3 linked regions of the Styela clava genome follow. The protein of the gene in region 1 purifies or fractionates together with the protein of each later gene. This does not show direct contact. Links are inferred from orthologs where the notes say so. Each region holds a gene or a part of one and is shown on either strand. Other genes may lie near its edges. The genes, in order: vesicle-fusing ATPase-like, sec1 family domain-containing protein 1-like and gamma-soluble NSF attachment protein-like.

Region 1 (3,758 bases):
TGGCTCGATAAATATGTTGCCAGTTTTCCGGCATTGTGCGTGCGTTTACCGGTACATTCGGGAACATATTTCACTGTACCTCGCAGCGGGTACATTATCTACATTCGAAACGTATGAGGTAAAATAAATAATCGTGGGAATGGCATTTAAATTTAAACAACAAAACGTGGAATCAAAAAACTACCGTACTGTATGTATTGCGACAATTAGATTTTAAAATCTCAATACGAAAGTTCCGTTTGGCGTTAGAATAATTCGCCGCAAAAAAGTGAATGATAAAACCGAAGATAAAAACAGGATTCAAATGACAGAAAGATAACAAAACGCATAATCAAGTTGTAGTGAAAGGACAACTCAATAAAACTCGCTTTGCGTGATATTGATCGTAAGACAGTAACAGCATATGGCGTTGTAGTTTTTATTATTGATGAATGGGAATCTCATATTTTATCCCGAGAATTATTGACGTGGTTGTTAGTTTTTATTAGTTAAGATTGCAAAGAATACCTAGAACTGTACCGGTATTTTATGAGTGGGCTTTTGAGATTTAAATTGTAGGCTGTTAGTAGTTTTTCTTCTTTTTAGAATTCTCTCTTTTTTATACCTGTGTTAGTAGATAGTCAGAACAGATTCCAAACATAGCCAGTAGATTCCAAACATAGGCTCCACATTGAAAGACATCAATTATAACAGTGAGTACGGTACAGTACGGCACACTATACAGATCGAGAGGCATTGTCTCATTTTAGAGAATTCCATTTTGCCAATGAACAAACACCCCTCCTTTCGGGGACGTCTGGCCATTGTTGTTCCTCAATATCGGTAAAAATACAGTAAAATGAAGTTGTATAAAAAACTACAAAGAAGCGCTATCTAAAAACGTCATCATTGAATTCCTCTGGAAAAAATAATCTAATTTATTGGAGGAAAAAAATTTCTACCATGGCATTTGAGAGATTTTAGCTAAAAACGACAATTTTGGTCATGTGACAGCCACGATTTAGATTATTATTGAGACAAGCATCGCGCAATATGATGCATCTGATGTCGTGCCAGACACCCCTTGTTTGGGAGAGACATGGGAGTGTTTGTTTTATTAGACCAAATGATGGGACATTCTTGGAATTTGGAAATTTTGGTAGACACTACCTGCTACAGTTTATTTATTTGCGTTACCAAGTTTAACGAACATGCATGTTATTTTCAGTATTTCAAAGGAAAATCAGGCAGAAATGCAGAATTGCCTTTACTCTTTAGGCCTACATGTTTACAAACTTGAAAAAGCATAAATAAAGTACACATCAATGATCACAAAATTGAGTTCTATTTTGAGGCAGCAATTTTTTTTGGTGTAAGTACATCGTGATTTTTTTTCCCCGAATAGTTCCGCGCACACAAACTAACAGTTTACGAAGTGCTGATGTCTGGTATGAACAGACTTTGTTCTTATTAAGTATTGAATTATTATTTTCTTTCATTCAAGGCTCATCAAAAAAATATTACATAATAAATTATAGTAAAAATGTCCACAGAAGCTTTCAGAGTCACAAAATGTCCTAGTAATGATCTTTCGTTAAAAAACAAAGTCATCGTGAGTCCGCAGGATTTTCAAAATGGATATAAATACATCAGGTTTTGTAATCGAGGTCAGGTGTACGATTTCACTTGCCTCCCTGATCGTCAAGTACAGGATAAATATATTGGATTTTCAATGATTCAAAGAAAATGGGCCTACGTTGGGATTAACCAAGAAGTTCAGGTATTTATGATTATATTTTTCGTGATGGTTAAATTTCGTCTACGTCATCCAAAAATCATGTCACTATGATGTAACAGTGACATAATAAGGCCCGCAAAAATACATGCATAGTCGTCCCAAACGCACAGACCATTACCCTAAGTCAGCAAGCTATTTTTCTCGTCTTAGCGATCCCAATATGAGAGAGATCACTGGCGTTGTGAATTTCTTATCGGCGGCTCATATTGGCAAGCTATGTTACATGATTGTGAGGCCGTAGTCGCGCAATTCATAGATGGCGTAGTCAGGTGGGAGTAAGGAATAACCCCAAATAGGAATAACAAATATTGACAAGCGCACTGGAAGTACTACACTAGACCCAATATTAATAACCAATTTGATTTATTGTAAAATTTGTTCATGCCTTTATTATAAACAAGTGGGAGGTGCTACTTGCTATCAAACTTTCATGATCATGGCCTCTTCCAAACAACATTTAGGTTCTTATGATCTTTAAAAAAAGATAGTAGTTTTCACTCGAATGAAGCACAAGGTGTCACTATGGAATAAGAGCGCTGTTTTGAGGATCCCCTAACTTTCGATCGATAAGTCTTCGGTCTCTGACCGATATTCTCGTTTTTTACTTGAGGGGCTTCCCCACGACCTCGCCACCCTAGATGTAATGAATTGGGCAGCCAATGACGAACCAGAGTGGTGTCCATCTCTCTGAGAATAGTATCCAAATTTGATGTATCAGTAGATGCTATTACATAGCCTTGTTCAGTGTAAAAAACACCACCTAAGAAATGCTAAATTTCATTTCTTATGACAGGTTGAAAAATTCTTCCCCACAAAGCAGGATGAAATAGTTGAAACCATCCTTGAAGTGGATTTTTATAAATCAAGAGAAGTCACAAGTAAGTTTAACAGTCTGGAGAATCTATTTGAGTACTGCATGGTTTTGGATTGTGTTGCTCTTCAGTTTGGGTGCACAGCGAAAGTCAGCAATCGCCTCTCATTGGTCGATGATAATTTTATGGTGTATTCTGCGTTACCCAGCGCTTCACAACTTATTTGATATCCGAAATTGGGGTTTTGCCCGTCAAATATTCACCGTATATAATCCAATTTCAAAACTAAGCTGTCAAACTCTGATCGCACTCAAACAAAATGACATCATGCTAACTTAATTTCAACAACTCGAACTATGAAAGTCCTCACAATAAAAGCGTACGATTTGTAGGATCCGCTTATATGCAAATTTTTATAAATTCACCGTTTTGGGGTCATTTTTAGGAGGTCTGCTTATATACGGTATGTTGGGAAGACATTAGTTTTGTGAAAATTATAGCCTAGCCTACTCTGTCAGTGGACAGGCAGTCTTATTCCAACATCAATTTCTTTCAGATGATCCAGTCAACACAGATCACATGGTAGAACAACTCAAGCATGACTTCGCGCTTCGGTGGTTTGTTCTTGGTGAAACGTTGCTGTTCAGTTTTGCCGGCATACATTACGCAATTTCGGTTAAAGATATTAAAACTGCTGCCAATGATCACCATGGTGGAATTTTTCAGGTGAGTCGAACTGACATGATTTTTTTTTTAATTATAGTGTTACCCCTGAAAAATTTTATAAAATTTATTTGCAGATACCTAGTGATATCACACATTCGAAAAAAATTTGAATACTCTAGGGGTCCGAAAGGAATCGAATATACTAAATGTACATGATTTTTTTTACAAATATAGTGTTACATCTTTTCTACCCCCTAAAATTTTTTAAAAAATATTCCTTTATATCCAGGTATATCATGCATGCTAAATAAATTTGAATACTTTGGGGGTCCGAAAAGAATCAAATATACTAAACGTACATGATTTTTTTCAAATATAATGTTACTCCATCTCTGCCCCTCTGAAATTTTATAAAATATATTTGCTGATACATAATTATATCACGCATGCAGAAAATTTGAATACTTTGGTTATCCAGAATGAATCGAATATACGAATATTTT
Region 2 (3,758 bases), on another chromosome or scaffold:
CTAAAAACTCTCGGACATAAGCTAAAACAACGCTTTTATTTATTTCGTCAAAAAGCATAACACGTCGCTATTAATGGTAACCTAAAATTTGCCGTTTATCTTGATCACTTTAATTTTTTTCATACGTGCTTCCTCTTCTGCCCTTTCTTTGCGTTTCTGTGCGCCACTGAGAGGTTTTGCTTTCGACATCATTCTGACAACCTTTCTAACTTTGCCGGTGCGATCAAACCACAAAACGCCGAAAATCGACGACTCCCTGGCATTGTTACGTACCAAAATGTTTTGAGCAGAACTAACATCAACGTTTTAAAATGTGCATTACTGGTTTTGCAATGCAGCTTTTGGTTTTACGGCTTAAATTTCTAAATTCTAATTTCTAACCGCTTAGGCCCCTTTGCGCTGTGGGCCCTCCCGCGACCGCGGGGGTTGCGGGGGTGGATGCTACGCCACTGCCCGCCAGTCTAGGTGGGCAAAATTCCTGGCCCCTTGTTCAAAAACCTTGCCCACCCCTGTACCATCAAGTTCATGTGTCTGAAATAAATAAACGGTCCACTATCCCATATCCGACATGAGCTGATAGGCCGTGGCTTATCTCGTCCTATCGGTTTTCCTCTCTCCCACGATAAATAGAAAAATTCCATCCTAATTACGATATATTAAATGTTTGTGCCCACTAGGTTTAAAATAGAGCAATATTGACGTTGAAAAATCCGTGTTCCCCTTAATATTTTATATCATAGCTTTTGAATAAAAAGCACCATTTTTAATTAATGGAAAAATTTAAGACCTCTATAGTCAGACTTATTCAATTTATTTGCAAAACTTTTAAAAACATGAATATTTTTCTTTAAGCTCCGAACATATTATTTTTACAGGGAGCACTTGTTAGCGTGGAAGAGCTGACGAGTCAGGCACAGTGGTTTACTACTACAGTTCCCATGTTATGTAGCTTAGCTTAATCCTGTAATCGCATTTTACTTTGATGTTATGTGTTTTGGATTGATCTGCTAGCCCGTTATTTGCTTCATGGGTTTTCGTGGATAGAAGGAGATTGTCTTTGAGTTGTTCTTTAATTTTCTAATCCTATTCAGCAAGAATGGCTGCCTCTATACGAGAACGGCAAGCAGGTATGATATATTTCTGTATTTTTACAATTCCGTGTTCCGATAAAGAGATGTCTAGGCTATATTGTTTCTTTGAACCTACAGTATCGTCATTTCTCATTTTGAGATAGGACTTTCGTATTTCAGTACCATAACCCTTTTCTGCCTTTCCAGATGAGAAAGAAATTATGGAATGGTAAAGTCTGAAAGTTGATGTGCTTTTCACAGTTTTATGGGCGCATGTTCACAAAAGGCATAAATATTCTAGTTGGCGTGGCACAAACATTTTTACTTATGTTATTCCAACCCCCTACCCGACTACGTCACAATCACGTCATAGAGCTTGCCAAAAAAAAGCTAGGTCACCTGAAAACGCATCTCTGATAATGATAACGAACTCGCTAACGCCATCGGATCTCCCTCATATCAGGATCGTTAGGACTGTAGGACGAGAAAACAAGAGAAATAGCTTGCTTGATTTTGAGTGATCGTCTGCGCGTTTTAGATGACAATCTGTATACTTTGACGGGCCTTATTTCGTCACTGTGACGTTGTAGTGGCTTAATTTTGTGATGGCGTAGTCAGGCGAGGGTCAAAAATGACATTTGCGAAAATGGTTATGCCACGCCAACTAGAAGTACTTGACGGCGTTTAGTGAACTTGCCTCTTTTTTTGCGTCCTATCATTGAATTTGGTTTTGAAAGCTTTTACGATGAGCAACCATTTATAAATAAAAAAATTTTCCCCAAAATTCTGAATATATTTTCAGTTGATGCTTTTACAAGACCTCGTTCACAGCGAAAGGCAAATAACTCGGTATAAATTCATGTTAATTTTAGTTGCCATCAAGAGAATGCTACATTTTGGAAATCCAGTAACTAAAGCATCAAGTATGGAACCAGAATGGAAAGTCTTGATTTATGATAGATTCGGTCAAGATATTATTTCACCTTTATTATCTGTTAGTGAATTGAGAGACATGGGAGTTACATTATACTTGTAAGTAAAACTATTGTTTAAAGGCATCTATTTTAGGACAAATTTTATGTACAGCTTTGAGAAAGTTTGATTATTGCAACTTCGATCAATGATGGCTCATAACTTAACTACTATACATCGATTTTTTATTAATTGGAATGACTTTATTTTTAATATAGCTTTGCATAATTTATTTCACGATCGAATTGAGGGCATAAAATTGATGGCAAGTTGCAAATCAAGTATAACTCTATTAATATTTTTTTATTCAGGTCTCTTCATAGTGACAGAGATCCAGTACCAGACGTTCCTGCCATATATTTTATTTTACCAACAGATGAAAATATAACAAGAATGTGTCGGGTAATGTTTGAAGGAATTTGTAACATTGGCTGACAATTTTCTTATGTTTTCAAAAAAACACAGCTGCCGAGTTTGTAATGAATGATAGCTTTGTGATTATTCTTTTGTTAGTTTATCATAGTTTGGGTGGACAAGTTGTGGGGGCTAACAGGGATCAATTCCAAGACATATCCTGTTATGGTAATATGTACCACTCTGTAGGGCATTTAGCCCTAGTCACCAGATATTAATATACAGTGTTGAGTGTGACAGTTTTATATACAGTCAAGTTATTAATTTGAGAATGGTTTGCTATTTGGTTATTTAGTGACTGTTTATGTTTTCTGTTCTTTTTACAGGATATGCAAAATGAGCTTTATGAAGGATATTACTTTAATTTTATATCCGCTATTCCGAGACATAAATTAGAAGATCTTGCGAGTGCTGCTGTATTAGTAAGTTATTGTTGTAAGAATTGTAATTTGGACAATGAAGCAGAATTCTGTTAAAAGTTCTTGGTCTGTCAACTTGAATTGAATCACAAATGACAAATGGAAATATTAGACATCTTTGTTGATGACGTCTTTGCTGGTGCATGATTAGAATTTAACACTATGCTAAAAGTTTTTACTAAGAATTAATGCCTTGAAAAATTTTTTTTTCGTCTATCGTTTTTCCCTGGCAATGTTGACTTGAATTCAAGGTCTCATGTCAACCATTATATATTGGAAATAAGCTTATTTATAGCTCTTACTGTGTTAGTGGTCAGTGGCAAAATATATAATGCACATCAACATATTTAATAAACATTACCAATTTTTTCATCATAGTTCCTATTTTAGTTACATTAATGTGTTAAACATTTTATAACCATACTCTCCCTTTTTTTAAGGCGAATGCAGAATCTTATGTTACTAAAGTTTTCGATCAATATTTAAATTTCATCAGTCTCGAAGATAACATGTTTCTTTTGAGAAATCAAAACAAAGATGCAATTTCATATTACAGTAGGTTTCTTTTTAGTTCAATCAATTGTCTTTTTCTAAAAATATTGAATTTATGCTTATTAAGTTAACCGTATTCAATTATACATTTGGTGATTTTTACATGCAGTTTATTGGCTTCAGCTTTGTAGTTGTTATTTAATTTAGATATTATTAAGTCAGAGTTTACAAACTCACTGTTTTCAACGCAGTTATATAGCATCTCTTGGAATACGAATGACTAAAAATGTTTGCTTCTGCAGTTATATACTGTTATAATGCCATCCATGATTATTGAAACAGGTATCAATAAAACTGCCATCAAAGACACAGAAATGATGAGCATAATTGA
Region 3 (3,758 bases), on another chromosome or scaffold:
CTGGATTCTTCTTCTTGTGGATGATCATTTGTAACGTGAACAGTATTTGATTCTTTCTTAGAAACAATATCTTTAGGTGGCGGCGGTGTTGAATGTTTCTGTGGAGACGACTCCATTTTTACTCTGTTGTTTCCTTGGTTGTGATTTCGATTGTGATTATTATAAAATCTTCCGCCTCCGCGCTTGTTCCCTGCCATATTTTTAGGTGATCTATTATACATTGAGTAAATAATCTGAAATAAAAGCAATGAGTTACTACCATGATATAAAAACTCAAATAAGTAATGTCAATATAAGCAAGCGAAAAGAACGCAAAAGAAGCGACGAATGAACGTATACGCCTCCGAAAACCCCTTCGACAGAAAAGCGAGTTCCGCGGCCATTGTTGCTCTATGCACCTGCAAGTGATGACGACAACAGCGACACCAACCATTTTCAAAATATTTTTTATGTAAATAACTCGCTAGTCATAGTCAAAGACAAGTATATTTTTTCATGTTGTAAAATATCGCTATTTTAAAACAATATTAAACTGAACTACAAGGATCCGCATCAAAATTTACAATAAAATAAGTATAGTAGTGCAAAAATCAACAATCTCTTCCTTGGCAGTGAAATAAGCCGCGCGAACTGATATGTGCGAGATTTAGAATGTTTTTTAAAATTGAATATCTTTCAAAGCGCACATTTATCACATCCGCCTCCAGTTTATAAATACGCTCGCAATCGCATTCCCATGTCCACAATCCCGTATTTGTATGCCACAACATTTCGGCCGACTCAGGGATTATGTAAACGTTAAGTATTTCCACGCGATCCAGTATCACCCGCCTCAAACGATGTTTAACAATTAAATGTTTAGGTATTTTCCCACTCTAACTAGACAAGTAAACAAATTAGAAGACGTGGTTTGTTATATTATTAAACCGCAAATCGGATTTTCTTTCTCCTCGGATAATGTAGTGAAAGTTACTACAGAATAGACTCACGTCTAAGCAATATGAATATTGGTAATTGAGATTAATCGGTGTTGAACAGCCACACCCTTGGCGTCAAATTCCCCATTTAATGAAAATATACTAGAGTTCAGAAAGTTGGGAACTGTTTGCTTTCGGGGAAATTCAGATTTTAAGGATAGTTGTACGTGAAATGTTCATACGACACAATTTTGCAATATTTACAAATCACATGACTATTTGTCAGCACAATACGCCATTTCATTTCATAGTTTTCCAAGAACGACTAATTTTCCAATAACAAGACATTGTCGATCGACGTCTAGCAATTTTTTAAGTAATTCCAATATCACCCACCTAAAATCAGTGTGCACTAAATGAAATTAATGTAAATTTAATCAGAGGTTTTTCTTGACAATATAACATTAAAGTGCGCACCTAATTTATCTGCATGGAAATTATGTCCAGTTGTTGACAAAACACGGAATCGATTTTTGTTCATGTAGAATTGGTTGTCTGTCTGTAGTGCGATAGCGCAGTTTAGGAAGATTATTTTGATAGATTTTTCCAGAATTAGGTTCCTAGAAAGCTAAATAATGACTGATAGAGCGGCGAAAAAGCTCCAAGAAGGTTTGCAGCATATGGAAGAAGCAGAAAAACATTTAAAAACGGGATTTTTCAAGTGGAGACCTGATTATGACAGCGCAGCAGCTTCGTTTCAGAATGCTGGGCTCGCCTTCAAGCTTGCTAAGTAAGTTGTGATGGGGTTTTGTAAATATAACAGTAGTATTTGGAATTTAATAATAATTCAGTGGTGCAGTGGTAGGCCTACAATACCTGAATACCAATCTGTGGCTCAACGGGCTAAGCGTTAGGAAAACGCTCGCCACCGCACCTCTAATTACTATGCATGGGTTCGCGGGTTCGAATCCCATGCAGGGATGGTTATGTGCGGGAGGATTGCTGGACTCCTCGCCGTCGTTGGGTGGTTCACGTAACCGCTGGTCAGTTACGGCTTCCTCCACCACCAAGTCCATGCTTCCGAAAAAAAAAAAAAAAAATACAGTAAATCTAATCCCATACCCTTGGAATGGTAACCGGAGGAGAGGCCGTGGTTCGCCATATGGATAAGCCATCTTATCGGCTTTCCTCTCCCCCGGGATAAATATGTAAATCCTATCCTATCCTATAATATGAAATTGGGGAGAATTGAAAGTTTTGTTTGTTTATTTCTTGCCCAAGCCTTGTGCAACTTGGATTGTGTTTTTTTTAATTTGGTTTGGTGTGTGCTGGATATTTCTGAAGCGAGCATATTTCTTTTAAACTTTATTACGGTAAAGGTTTTGCTCGCTCTCCAGAATTCTCCATATTTCAGTATTACAGGTTTAATTTGTGTGTAATACAGACCTACCGTACAGACTGACAGTAAAGTTTTAAAAATAAACTATTGAAGAACAGAAGAGTCTGAGAGTTGAGCGATAGTTTCCAAATTCAATATCTGCCGATTTTACTGTCTTGCCAAGTTTACAAACTCAGGCCGGACGGACTTTTTCCGACCACAAGACAGTTTGTGTTCTGTAGTTATAATAACACTGTCGCCCTTGAGTGGTGCATACCATATATGTACACACCCTTTAAACCATTCCCGCGTTTTATAGTATGTGGTATCATCACTCAATGGTGTTGTACATTCATCCAAATTCTTAAATTTTTTAGAAAAAAAAAATTTTATTACTATATTCATATGCAGTGTGTTTCATGTTGTGTTGTGTCTCTATTTATAGATGTTGTTTTGTCTAACAAACTCCTTTGTACAAACAGTTTTGTACACTCCACCCTTATCCCTGTTACCGCATCCACCCACCCTCCTTGCACAACTGCCTGTATAAAGGACCATATTGTACATATTTGATTTACCCTATTATAATTTATATATATCAAAAGGGGTGTATGCCGCACATCTGTGTTTTAGGCCAATATGGTCTTGTGCATACATCCCGTCTTCAGTATTTATAATTACTTACTCTTTTATATTGCTTTTACGAGACGAATAAACATACATACATACATACAGTTATGATTTTGTTTCACAATCCCTTGCAACCTTAGCAGTTGTTTAAAAATAATAATAACAATACAGTAGGTCACAGCTCTCTGATTCTAAGATGTCCAGACATTTGGTTCAATTAAACAAACATTCCTTTTGTCTCTAAAAGAGGGCGTGTGGCCCTACAGTAGATCTGTGTCAGATCATGCCAAGCTTGTCTCAGTAATGATTTAAATCAATTGTGGCTTGTGTCGACCGGCACATGGTCAAAATTGTGTTTTTTTGCTGAAAACTCTCGAATGCTACGGTAAAATTTTTTTTGTCTTTGATAAATGAGATTATATTTTTGACGTTCCAAGATTGTGCTTCCTTTTAGTTTATTGCACAGTGCCTGTTCATGCCAATATGGAGGCCCAGACCGTCTTGTAAAGGATTGGTTTTCACTCACTGTTATAATTGATGTCTTTTAATGTTGGGGCTATTCTTGGAATCGGAGAACTGTGCCCTACTGTAATGTGATGTTAAAAAATTAATGAAAAATTTAAAAATGATAAAAAAGAACAGTAAATTTGATCATTCGAGTTGTCATATTGGATTTTTCCTCTCTACGTGAAGAAATACAGATGAAAATTTAATCCTCTTTGTTTCAGGCAATATGAGAAAGCATACGCTGCATATGAAAGATTAGCCGATGCTCATTACAAGCTTGGAGCGAGATTCCATGCCGCAAAAGCATACGAGGAAGCTGGGAATGC

What was found.
Region 2: the proteins of vesicle-fusing ATPase-like (region 1) and sec1 family domain-containing protein 1-like purify together in Homo sapiens (affinity purification with mass spectrometry; 3 studies listed by BioGRID and IntAct, with this or other methods). This does not show direct contact. The link is inferred for Styela clava from reciprocal best matches to the Homo sapiens genes NSF and SCFD1.
Region 3: the proteins of vesicle-fusing ATPase-like (region 1) and gamma-soluble NSF attachment protein-like purify together in Homo sapiens (affinity purification with mass spectrometry; 3 studies listed by BioGRID and IntAct, with this or other methods). This does not show direct contact. The link is inferred for Styela clava from reciprocal best matches to the Homo sapiens genes NSF and NAPG.

What each region holds. Positions count from the first base shown.
Region 1 is NC_135262.1:1,426,296-1,430,053, reverse strand, and holds the start of vesicle-fusing ATPase-like, read left to right. Parts: upstream 1-1,486; 5' UTR 1,487-1,522; coding exon 1,523-1,759; intron 1,760-2,570; coding exon 2,571-2,655; intron 2,656-3,145; coding exon 3,146-3,315; intron 3,316-3,758.
Region 2 is NC_135251.1:11,552,461-11,556,218, reverse strand, and holds the start of sec1 family domain-containing protein 1-like, read left to right. Parts: upstream 1-915; 5' UTR 916-1,096; coding exon 1,097-1,127; intron 1,128-1,942; coding exon 1,943-2,102; intron 2,103-2,353; coding exon 2,354-2,444; intron 2,445-2,782; coding exon 2,783-2,878; intron 2,879-3,315; coding exon 3,316-3,430; intron 3,431-3,709; coding exon 3,710-3,758. UniProt on the Homo sapiens protein: Plays a role in SNARE-pin assembly and Golgi-to-ER retrograde transport via its interaction with COG4. Involved in vesicular transport between the endoplasmic reticulum and the Golgi.
Region 3 is NC_135250.1:29,672,065-29,675,822, reverse strand, and holds the start of gamma-soluble NSF attachment protein-like, read left to right. Parts: upstream 1-1,453; 5' UTR 1,454-1,552; coding exon 1,553-1,707; intron 1,708-3,653; coding exon 3,654-3,758. Other genes in the region: uncharacterized protein LOC120334755, read right to left, coding at 2-221. UniProt on the Homo sapiens protein: Required for vesicular transport between the endoplasmic reticulum and the Golgi apparatus.